Macaca fascicularis: one gene and its partners. The protein of the gene in region 3 interacts with the protein of the main gene of each other region in a biochemical or structural test. Links are inferred from orthologs where the notes say so. Each region holds a gene or a part of one and is shown on either strand. Other genes may lie near its edges.

Region 1 (3,646 bases), on a different chromosome or scaffold from region 3:
GCCAGCAGGGGGAGGGGAGGAAGGCTCTGCAGCTGCGGGAGCTCAGAGCTGTTCAGCCCAGGAAAACAAAGTGACTAAGAAAGTAACAAAGGGCTCTGAATGGGAGCTGGGGCCTGGCAGCAGAACTCTGCTAAAGCTCCCACCCACTCCCCTGAGTTTTATGCCCCTCCCCCAGCTCTCCACCCCCAGTCTCCTCTTACTGCAAGAAGAGCTGTCCAAATCTGCCATGCCTAAGGGGGCAGCATGAAAGATGTGTCTAAGGTGCCAGGCATGGTGGTGTGCGCCTGTAGTCCCAGCTACCCTGGAGGCTAAGGCGAGAGGATCACTTGAGCCCCCAGGAGTTCCAAGCCAGCCTGGGCAACATAGAGGGACCTCCCGACCACCAATCTCAAAAAAAAAAAAAATTCCTAAGGAGCCTGAAAAAGAAGGGCACCGCCCACCTCTCAAGCTAGACGCCTGTTCTGCTGTTGACCTAATCGTTAGGGGCCTGTGGGAACCTTCTGCGTGGAGGACTTCAGATGTAAACACACTTGTGATTTGTACAGTAGGAAGCCAAGAGGTGGCAAGGCTCACTCCTCACTCCCCTTCTCTCCTAGGTGTGCCATTTTTCACAGTGGAGCCAAAAGATCTGGCAGTGCCACCCAATGCCCCTTTCCAACTGTCTTGCGAGGCTGTGGGTCCCCCTGAACCTGTTACCATTGTCTGGTGGAGAGGAACTACGAAGATCGGGGGACCCGCTCCCTCTCCATCTGTTTTAAATGTAACAGGTGAGCAGCCTCAGAAGGGGGCTTGGAGTGGAGAAGGAGCTGGGTCCTGGAGGGCACTGAAGCTGGCAGAGTTTCAGCCACTGAGCTTGCGGTTGTGAGTGTCCAGAGCAAGCCCCAGTGTCTGGGGACGTGAGCTGCACCATTACTAAGCTCATTAGTCAGGTGTGCTAGGCTGGCTGGGTGGGCTGATTAGTGGCGATCCTGCTGTGTGTGCTTAAGGAGGGTGTGGGGCCACCTTCTTTGGTTCGCAGCAGTCCAGGCCATGCACAGCTGGCCCTCCGAGATGAATTGTGTGAGACCAGGGGCACCCATCCCCCGCCCCTCCCAAGGGAAGGAGCCAGAAACCAGCCCACGCAGAGCTAGGGAGGAGTATCTGGCAGACACTGAGAAGACAAGACTCTCAGGCTGCAGAGAGGGGAGAGGAGGGAGAGAGAAGGGGTAAGGGGAGGTTAGCACAAAGCCTCCTCCCCTAATGGCACTTTCTGGGAAACCTCCAGACGTTTTCCCAAACAACTGTGTCTGTCCATACGTCTGCACAGTCACACCTGCACACCCACCTGGGCCCCAAGTTTCTTGGGCAATACCCTCACATGCTTGTAAGACTTGCTTATTCGTGAAACAAAGTATACTGTTTCTGGTTGGGGCTTGAACTGGGCAAAAAAATGGGACTCTGAGCTTGGTCTCATGTGCTGGAAGGTGCCAGGGAAATGGGCGCTGAGCTGGGTTCCCCAGCAGTTTGAATCTTGAGAAGAGGTGGACTATGAGACCTCTGGAAGCAAGTGCAGGTCCTGTTTCAGGAGGCGCGGAGTTGGAACAGATTAGAGAGGAGGCTGGGTTCGCTTCCTTCCAGGTGTGCGTGGTTGGGACCCTCAGGCAGGCAGCCTGATAATAAGCACTCACTAAACTCCTACTCCACACCACACTGTGCTAGGCACCACAGGGGACAGCGGGAATACAAAGGAAATAGAAGCCAAAGAACTGAGTATAATTGGGGAGACAAGACACGTGCATAAAGAGCTGAGAACTATTGCAAGGCAGAGAGTCTGCAAATAACAACGCCGAGGGGGCACAGAGCAAACAGAAGGGCTCACTCTGGTATGCGTAATAAAAGAGTGACCAGAAAAGGGAGGCAACTCGTGCTGTGTGTGGGCGATGGGATGGAGGTGGGAGGGTGGTATAACGTTTCCTAAGGGCTTATTCGTGCACTTGACACACATGACCTGATTCCCACAATTCTCCCATTTGAGAGATGAGAAAACAGAGCCCCTCCAGGCTCACCAGACTCCAGTGTCCCTGTTCATTTCACCGTGCCTCACTGCCCAGCCCCTTCCTTTGGCAGGAGGGCTTTAAGGGTGTTCCGACCAGAGCCTGAGTATTCCCCTTTCCCAATCATGCACTGAGTAGGGGTTGCTGCTTGGGGAGCTGACTGAGGTTTTCTGGCCCCAGGGGTGACCCAGAGCACCATGTTTTCCTGTGAAGCTCACAACCTAAAAGGCCTGGCCTCTTCTCGCACAGCCACTGTTCACCTTCAAGGTAGGAGGGCTGGCAGGGAGGAAGGGTGGATGAGGCCAGGGGCATTCCCGGCGAGCTGTCCTGCAGTTAGAATTGTTCTGTGTTCCAGCTCCCCTTGTGGTCCTGCTGGGATCTAGGGAGCGAGGGGTTAATTGGCATAGCTCCCATTCCTAGTGGGAGCACCTGAGACCCTGCGTGGCTGAGATGAGAATAGAATCCTGACGTCACAGCAGATTTCCCATCACGAAGCAGAGTCCTTGGGAGGGAGGGAAGGAGGGAGGGAAGCAGCAGGAGATGGTCAAGGCCCATGCCCAGCCTTGCTTCTGCCCCTCCCTTTGAGGGGATGGGGGTGGGGAAAACAGCCTAGCACCGGATGGAGGAGACCCGAAGGGCTGGTGCACAGAGAGAGGGGGAGGGACAGGGTGTCTGCAGGAGCCAGGCTGTGGCTGCAGGGGCAGCTGCCTGTCTCTCCCTTGTATCTCCCAAGCCTGAGGTGCCGCCCCCACATACCCTCTCATCTTATTCCTCAGTCACACAGGTCCTTCATTGCAGGGAGCGGCAACCTCTCTCCACAGCCCAGGCGCTCTCCCAGGTGTGAGCAGCTGTGCCCTACTGGTTGCTTATTTGTGTACTACTGTGATCCTGGGAGTGCTGAGTAGCTGTCTTTAGGTTGGGGATGCCCTGGACCCTCAGAGAGACTCAAGGCTTGACTCCCATGCCTCCTGCTCTCTCCATTCGTATTCCTACTGGGCACTGATTCTGAGTCCCCGTCCACAGCACTGCCTGCAGCCCCCTTCAACGTCACCGTGACAAAGCTTTCCAGCAGCAACGCTAGTGTGGCCTGGATGCCAGGTGCTGATGGCCGAGCCCTGCTACAGTCCTGTACAGTTCAGGTAGGCTCTCCGGGCTGGGCCATGCTTGTTCTGGCTGCCTGGCCAGCACTTTGTTGACAGGGGTATCACACTCACTAGTCAGCTCTTAGGGGCTTGGTCTGCAGCTCTTTCCAGGTGCTGCTCCTTAGCAGGAAGAGCACAGGCCACTGTCTCTTATCATGGGGTGCTCTGGCAACTAAGTGACTGCAGATTGGCTCAAATTCATGCATTCTTCAGGTTGAAAAGCAGATCACTAGAACAGATTTGGGGTACCTGGAAGGTTTTTCTTTCCTTCTTTTTTCAAGTGATTCTCCTGCCTCAGCCTCCCCAGTAGCTAGGATTACAATCGTGCACCACCATGCCCAGCTAATCTTTTTTTTTTTTAGTGGAGACTAGTAGTTCACCATGTTAGCCAGGCTGATCTCAAACGCCTGACTTCATGCTATCTGCCGGCCTCAGCCTCCCAAATGCTGGTATTACAGGCGTGAACCAGCA
Region 2 (3,646 bases), on a different chromosome or scaffold from region 3:
TCATTCCAGACTCCTGAGCACACCATGCTTCCCCGACCTGCTCCTCAACACCCAGGACTCTCTGCAAAACCCTCCAGTTTGTTTTATTGACCTTCTGCAGACTCAGGTCTCCTCTGAGATGTTTGCAGGATCCTTTAGGGAATGCTTATCAAACTCTGCAGTATTAGAGCATGCAGAGAAGGCCGTGACATTTAGCCAGCACTTTGAGGGTAAAGAGAGGAGCCTGGTTGGGTCAGGAGGAGACAGCCTGGGGCTTCAGACTCCTCAGTCCACCTTGGGTACTCCAAGAGCTGAGAGGAGTAAAAATAACAGTTAACTTTTTTTTTTTTTTTGAGACGGAGTCTTGCTCTGTCGCCCAGGCTGGAGTGCAGTGGCCGGATCTCAGCTCACTGCAAGCTCCGCCTCCTGGGTTTACACCATTCTCCTGCCTCAGCCTCCCAAGTAGCTGGAACTACAGGCGCCTGCCACCTCGCCCGGCTAGTTTTTTGTATTTTTTAGTACAGATGGGGTTTCACCATGTTAGCCAGGATGATCTCGATCTCCTGACCTCGTGATCCACCCGTCTCGGCCTCCCAAAGTGCTGGGATTACAGGCTTGAGCCACCGTACCCGGCCAACAGTTAATATTTTTATAGAACTGACTAGAAGGCACTGTTTTAGGTGCCTGGCATGTGTTAGATCATTTGGTCCTTACCACAGCCATATGGTGTGGAGAGGTATCATTACGATTCCCATTTTGCAGATGAGAAAATCCAGTCCTACAGGGAGGGTAATTTATTTTTATTTATTTATTCGCGTCTCACTCTGTCGCCCAGGCTGGAGTGCAATGGCTTGATCTTGGCTCCCTGCAACCTCCCAGGTTCAAGCGATTCTCTTGCCTCAGCCTCCCAAGTAGCTGGGACTACAGGCACGTGCCACCACGCCCAGCTAATTTTTTTTTTTTTTGTATTTTTAGTAGAGATGGGATTTCACTGCATTAGCCAGGATTGTCTTGATATCCTTACGTCATCATCCACCCGCCCCAGCCTCCCAAAGTGCTGGGATTACAGGCGTGAGTCACTGTGCCCAGTCTGGGAGGGCGATTTATTTGTCAAAGGTTGCACAGCTGGTGTGTTTATTATCTATATCCCCACATCGAGTAGTTTAAAACAACAAACATTTATTATCTCCCATGGTTTCTGAAAGTTGGATATTGGGAACAGCTTATCAGAGTGATTTTGGTTCAGGATCTCTAATGAAGTTACAAAGATATCATTGGGGGCTGCAGTCATCTGAAGCTTGGGACTGGAAGATTGCTTTCAAGGTGGCTTACTCACATGGCTGTGGCAGGAGGCTTCAGTTCGTTGCCAGGTGGAACCCTTGGTGGCACTGCTTGATCTTACTCACAACGTGGCAAGACAAAGTGTGAGGAAGCCGCATGCCTTTTATGACCTAGTCTCAGAAGTCACACACGCCATTGCTTCTGCCAAATCAGAAGCAAGTCACTAAGTCCTGCCCATGCTCAAGAGGAGACGATTTATTCTCCATCTTTTGCGGGGAGGAGGGTCAAAGAATTTATGGATCTATTTTAAACCAGCACAGCTTGTAAGAGGCATAGCCAGGCTTTGATGCAAGTCTGCTCTGGTGAGCTGGGAAAGTCTGTTCTAGCAAACCCTCATCAGAATACTACTCCATACCCAGCCAGGTTTCCCAAGACCCTTCCCAGCTCCTGAGTCTCCCAGGACCCAACTCAGAAACTCTTGGGAATTCCCAAATCCCCATAGATGGCTTCAAACTGCTGAGGCTCCCTCCAGTCCCCTAAAATGCCCCCAGTCCCCTGAGTGTCCTAAAACGTCCCCAGGCTCCCAGAATGCCCCCCTTCTGAGTCCCTGCTCAATCTCCCAACCCTCGTTTTGCTGCCCTAGGTATGCCTTGATGTCGCGGTGCTGGGAGCTAAATCCCCAGGACCGGCCAAGTTTTACAGAGCTGCGGGAAGATTTGGAGAACACACTGAAGGCCTTGCCTCCTGCCCAGGAGCCTGACGAAATCCTCTATGTCAACATGGATGAAGGTGGAGGTTATCCTGAACCTCCCGGCGCTGCTGGAGGAGCTGACCCCCCAACCCAGCTAGACCCTAAGGATTCCTGTAGCTGCCTCACTTCGGCTGAGGTCCATCCTGCTGGACGCTATGTCCTCTGCCCTTCCACAGCCCCTAGCCCCGCTCAGCCTGCTGATAGGGGCTCCCCAGCAGCCCCAGGGCAGGAGGATGGCGCCTGAGACAACCCTCCACCTGGGACTCCCTCTCAGGATCCAAGCTAGGCACTGCCACTGGGGGAAACTCCACCTCCCCACTTTCCCACCCCAGGCCTTATCCCCACCTGAAGCCCTATCTTCCTACCTATCCCACCTCCATCCCAGACAGGTCCCTCCCCTTCTCTGTACAGTAGCATCACCTTGAAAGCAGTAGCATCACCATCTGTAAAAGGAAGGGGTTGGATTGCAATATGTGAAGTCCTCCCAGGTATTAACATTCCAAGACTCTAGAGTCTAAAGTTTAAAGAGTCTAGATTCAAAGGTTCTGGGTTTCAAAGATGCTATGAGTCTTTGGTTCTAAGGACCTGAAATTCCAAAGTCTCTAACTCCATTAAAATGCTAAGGTTTTAAGGCCTACTTTTTTTTTCTTTTTTTTTTTTTTGAGATAGAGTCTCGCTCTGTCGCCCAGGCTGGAGTGCAGTGGTGCAATCTTGCCTCACTGCAACCTCCACCTACCAAGTTCAAATGATTTTCCTGCCTCGGCCTCCCAAGTAGCCGGGATTACAGGCACCCGCCACCACACCTGGCTCATTTTTGTATTTTTAGTAGAGACAGGGTTTCATCATGCTGGCCAGGCTGGTCTAAAACTCCTGACCTCAAGTGATCCACCCACCTCGGCCTCCCAAAGTGCTGGGATTACAGGCGTGAGCCACTGCACTCAACCTTAAGACCTACTATTGTAAGGCTCTGAGATTCTGTGGTTTTAGATTTTCTGGTTCTAATATTTTTGATAAGGCCTCAAGGTTTTAGGTTTTAAAGCTCTAAGATTCTGATTTTAGGATCTAAGGCTCTATGATTCTAGATTTTTATTTTTCTAGGGTTCAGAGTCCTTAGAATGTAATATTCTAGATTCTAAAGATTCTTTAATTCTAGACATGGAGGTTCTAAGGCCTAGTGTTCTAAAATATGATGTTTTAAGGCTCTGAGAGTCTAGATACTCTGGCTGTAAGACTCTAGACCATAAGCCTTCAAAATTTTATCTTCTCAAGTTCTAAGATTCTAATGATGATCAATTATAGTTTCTGAGGCTTTATGATAACAGATTCTCTTGTATAAGATCTTACATCCTAAGGGTCAAAAGCTCTAGAATCTGTAATTCAAAAGTTTTAAGAGTCTAAAGATGGAGTTTCTAAGGTCCAGTGTTCTAAGATGTGATAGTCTAAGACTTACTCTAAGATCTTAGATTCTCTGTGTCTAAGATTCTAGATCAGATGCTCCAAGATTCTAGACGATTAAATAAGATCCTAATGGTTTGTTCTGTTTCAAGGCACTTTAGATTCCATTGGTCCAAGATTCTGGATCCTAAGTATCTAAGTTATAAGACTCTCACACTCAGTTGTGACTAACTAGACACC
Region 3 (3,646 bases):
GAAAGTTCCCTGCTCTGGGCTGTGGTTCCTCCATGCTGCCCTATGGGGGACAGAACCAAGGCCGGTGCGAGCTGGTGTCCCTGGAAAACAGAGGGGCTGGGGCTGGGGCTGAGCCGGCCTGCTCCGCCCACCGTGGGCAGCCAGGGTGAGCTGGACGCCTGGCAGGGGCCCAACGCCCTCTGCACGAGTACACGAGACAGTGAGGCAGAGAACCTCAAGGCAAGGGCTGGCTGGGAGCCCCGAACATCACAGCCCAGACCCAAGAGCCCCACAGCCGCGTCCCAGGTCTGTGACTCTGAGAAGCTGTCCTGGTGGCTGTTTCACCTGTGGAATCCCGTGGTTTTGCTTTTTAAATAAATGCTCACTTTCGCCAACTCCCCAGGCACAGGCCCAGGGTGAACAGGAAACACGAGAGCCGCCCTGCCGGGAAGCGTCCCCATGTGGGTACCACATCCCCCCGGTGTGACAGGTCGGTCAGGCTGGCTCCCTGGCACGTGGCAGTGGGGACCGTGCCCCGTGGGTGTCACACTGGGGTCCACACCAGGCTGGTCCACTGTGAGTTGGGAGTTGCCATAGAGACTTTATAAATATAGAGACTTTATAAATATAACAACCAAACGTCCTCCAGGGAGCAGAAGCGTTTCTCATCCCAACCTCCACGTGGCCCTGGAGATCCCAACACTGCAGCCAAAGCCAGGTCTTCATGGAAGCGTTTCTCCCGAAAGCCCCCACCGGCGAGGGCCCCCAGAACCACCGTGAGAGGCCCGCGGGGCCAGGGGCTGCCTACCTCACAGGTGTCCATGTCCTGGGACAGCTTGAGGCCCCCGCGCCCATCACAGTGGCAGGTGTAGCTGCCCGGGGAGTTCACGCAGACCTGCTCACAGCGGCCCTGCAGACACTCATCCACATCTGCCAGCCAGAGGGAAGTGGCGGTGAGCGGGGGAGGCCTCTACACTGTACGGGGCAGGATCACACCACAACTGCTCAAACCACAAGGTGCACTCGGGGAATTACGTGCAGATTCTAATGGGTGCAGCCTGGGGTTTGTAGGCCCCCATTGGAAAGCTAGGATTGCACCCTCGGCCTGCTCCTGCCAGGCTCTTTCTTGAAGGGAGTGAAAGTGCTACAGGTGTTCCAGGGGGACGCTCCCAATGGGCCAGACCCACTCCCGCCGCCAGGCTGGTGTGGACGGCAGGTCTAGGAAGAACAAGGCCCGGGCTGTGCAGTGAGGTGTCCCCGGGAGCACAGAGGCGCTGACAGCTGTGGTGGGAGATGGAGGTCAGTGCAGGCAGCCTGGGCCTCCCCACCCTCTCTGTCTGCCTACTCAGCCCCTGTTCCCATCACTGGGGGCATGGCCCCTCTTGGAGGCTCTGCGGCCAACAGGGTCCCCCCATGGCGGCTGAAAAGAGAGAACAGTAGAGGGAGGCTTGCTGCTCCCCATACCTTTGGGGAGAGGCCCCATCTACGCAGGTGGAGAAGGGTACGCACGTGTGTACATGCGGTGTATATGCATGTGCACGGTACGTTCGTGTGCACAAGGGGCATGGGTGTGTGCTCACGTGTGTGGGGGCATGGTGGTAGAAGAGGCCATTACCAGGCTCACAGAAACAGGGAAAGAGACTTTCTTTCACCAGAAGCGCCCAGTTGTTAGCAACTGCCCTGGCTCAGGCAGTGACCGGCACCCGTGTCTGGGCTTGGGCGTCAGAGGAGGAGGAGAGAACCCGAGGGTGACCGCGTGGCGTGGGTACCTCGGCAGGCCTTCTCCTGGGAGCTGTATGCAAAGCCCTTGTCACAGAGGCAGGAGTAGGAGCCGGGCAGGTTCTTGCAGCGTGCCTCCCCGCAGGCCTCCGAGTCTGCACACTCGTCTATGTCTGCAAGCAAGACCGGCCAACCTCAGCATGGCAGCATCTCAGACGGGGCCAGGGCAGGTGGCTGTAGGGGCTGGCCAGGGCACCACCCGGACATCACACCCAGGCTCTGTGGGGCCAACGCGCCCTGGCCCCAATTCCCTCCCCTCCTCCCCTGACGGGGCAGCTCCTGGGGTGTTGGGGGCATGCTTCTGATCAAGGCCCGGCTGGGAAGGCTGATTTCAGCCCAGCAGATGGAGAGCTGGGAAGGGCCTTGCTTGGTCCAGGGGTGGGGGGCGGTGGTGCACGCTGTGCTGTTCCATTTAAATGATGGTGCCACAGGATACGGGGCAGTAAAAAGCAACTCCACCAGGGGCATTTGAAACCAAAACCCCCAAAGAGAAGCATTTATAGGTTTCAATCAATTTTCACTACCGGGTTAAACCACAATCCTAAGACTTGAACATCTATGTGGGACAGACACTGTTTATGGCCAAGCACCCTGGGGTACAAGGGGCAACCCTGAAATGAAGACCTTTAGTCACCAGAGGAGAGCAAGGACAGGGGCATGGAGAAAGAGGAGGGGAGAAAGAGGAGGGGGGAAGAGGAGGGGGAGGAGGAGGGGGAGAAGCAGAGAGGAAGAGGAGAAGGTGAGGGAGGGGGAGGGGGAGGAGGGGAGGAGGTAGGGGAGGGGTTGAGAGTGGTGGGGGAGGAAGAGGGGGAATAAGGATGGGGGAGGAGGGGAGGATGGGAGGAGGGGGAGGAGGCAGGGGAAAAAGAGGGGGAATGAGGAGGAAGAGGGAAGGAGAAGGAGGAAGAGGGGGAGAAAAAGGGGGACCAGGGGGAGGAGGAGAAGAAAGAGGAGGAGGAAGATGGGGAGGAGGAGAGGACAGGACGCCTGTCAGTGTGGGCAGTAACTGTGAGCCCAGACTTTGCCCGGAGTGCCCGACTGGTGCAGGGACCCATGTGAGGTGCTTTAGACGTCATCTCTCAGGATTGACCGTGTCTTCACCTCTCTTTAAACCTGGGGTGCTGCTGTCTTCCAGGTCAGGGATAGAGCAGTGATGGGAGGGGCTCTGTCCTCCAGGCAAGAGGAGGAGCTGAACGGGGAAATGGGTTTATGTGTTAAGATGGGAATCACATCATCTGCACAGAGGACTAACTCCTGGGTGGTCAGGGAAGGGAACCATCAAAGTGGACACAAATAGCAGCTGCCTTTTGAAATCGGGGGACAGCGTGTGGCCCCTCCTGTCTGGTCAGATTCACTCTCCAGCTCCTGGGCCTGTTTCTCCCTGAGCAACTGTCTGTCCCATCCACGCAGTCCGGCGTCCTGGACAGCCAGCAGCAGCAGTAAGAACGATGCCAGAAATTCTCAGGGACACGCCTGGGCATGTCCAGATCCAAGGCGGGAGGGAGGAGGAAGGTGCTCCCCCTGCGAAGCCCCAGTGGCAGGAGCAGCGCCCAGGACAGCATCGGGGGTGCGCACATTCACAGTGACTTTCTGGGGTGTCCCGGGGCTCCCCAGCTCTGGCCCTGGGCCGAGGGAACCCCAGACTGAAACACGAAGGGAAATGGGGAGGGCAGGGCTGTATTTAGGGAACAGACAGAGGGAGACCAACAACAGGGTGCTTCTGGGGACGCTGGGGAGAGTGGACGGCAGCGGGGACCCTAGCCTGGAACTCTGACCCACAAGCTCACTGCACAACAGCCTGGAGCACTCCCAGGCTCTGCGAGGCTCTGGGGACGGGACGAGGCCCTGCAGCCAGCAGTGTGGCCTCTGAGTTCTGGCCCTCAGATGC

What was found.
Region 1: the proteins of GAS6 (region 3) and TYRO3 form a complex in vitro, tested with the Homo sapiens proteins (2 studies listed by BioGRID). The link is inferred for Macaca fascicularis from reciprocal best matches to the Homo sapiens genes GAS6 and TYRO3.
Region 2: the proteins of GAS6 (region 3) and AXL form a complex in vitro, tested with the Homo sapiens proteins (2 studies listed by BioGRID and IntAct, with this or other methods). The link is inferred for Macaca fascicularis from reciprocal best matches to the Homo sapiens genes GAS6 and AXL.

What each region holds. Positions count from the first base shown.
Region 1 is NC_088381.1:18,122,904-18,126,549, forward strand, and holds part of TYRO3 (tyrosine-protein kinase receptor TYRO3), read left to right. Parts: intron 1-596; coding exon 597-767; intron 768-2,213; coding exon 2,214-2,300; intron 2,301-3,056; coding exon 3,057-3,172; intron 3,173-3,646. UniProt on the Homo sapiens protein: Receptor tyrosine kinase that transduces signals from the extracellular matrix into the cytoplasm by binding to several ligands including TULP1 or GAS6. Regulates many physiological processes including cell survival, migration and differentiation.
Region 2 is NC_088393.1:48,396,936-48,400,581, forward strand, and holds part of AXL (tyrosine-protein kinase receptor UFO), read left to right. Parts: intron 1-1,903; coding exon 1,904-2,255; 3' UTR 2,256-3,646. UniProt on the Homo sapiens protein: Receptor tyrosine kinase that transduces signals from the extracellular matrix into the cytoplasm by binding growth factor GAS6 and which is thus regulating many physiological processes including cell survival, cell proliferation, migration and differentiation.
Region 3 is NC_088391.1:104,163,731-104,167,376, forward strand, and holds part of GAS6 (growth arrest-specific protein 6), read right to left. Parts: intron 1,872-3,646; coding exon 1,749-1,871; intron 910-1,748; coding exon 788-909; intron 7-787; exon of another isoform or gene 1-6. UniProt on the Homo sapiens protein: Ligand for tyrosine-protein kinase receptors AXL, TYRO3 and MER whose signaling is implicated in cell growth and survival, cell adhesion and cell migration.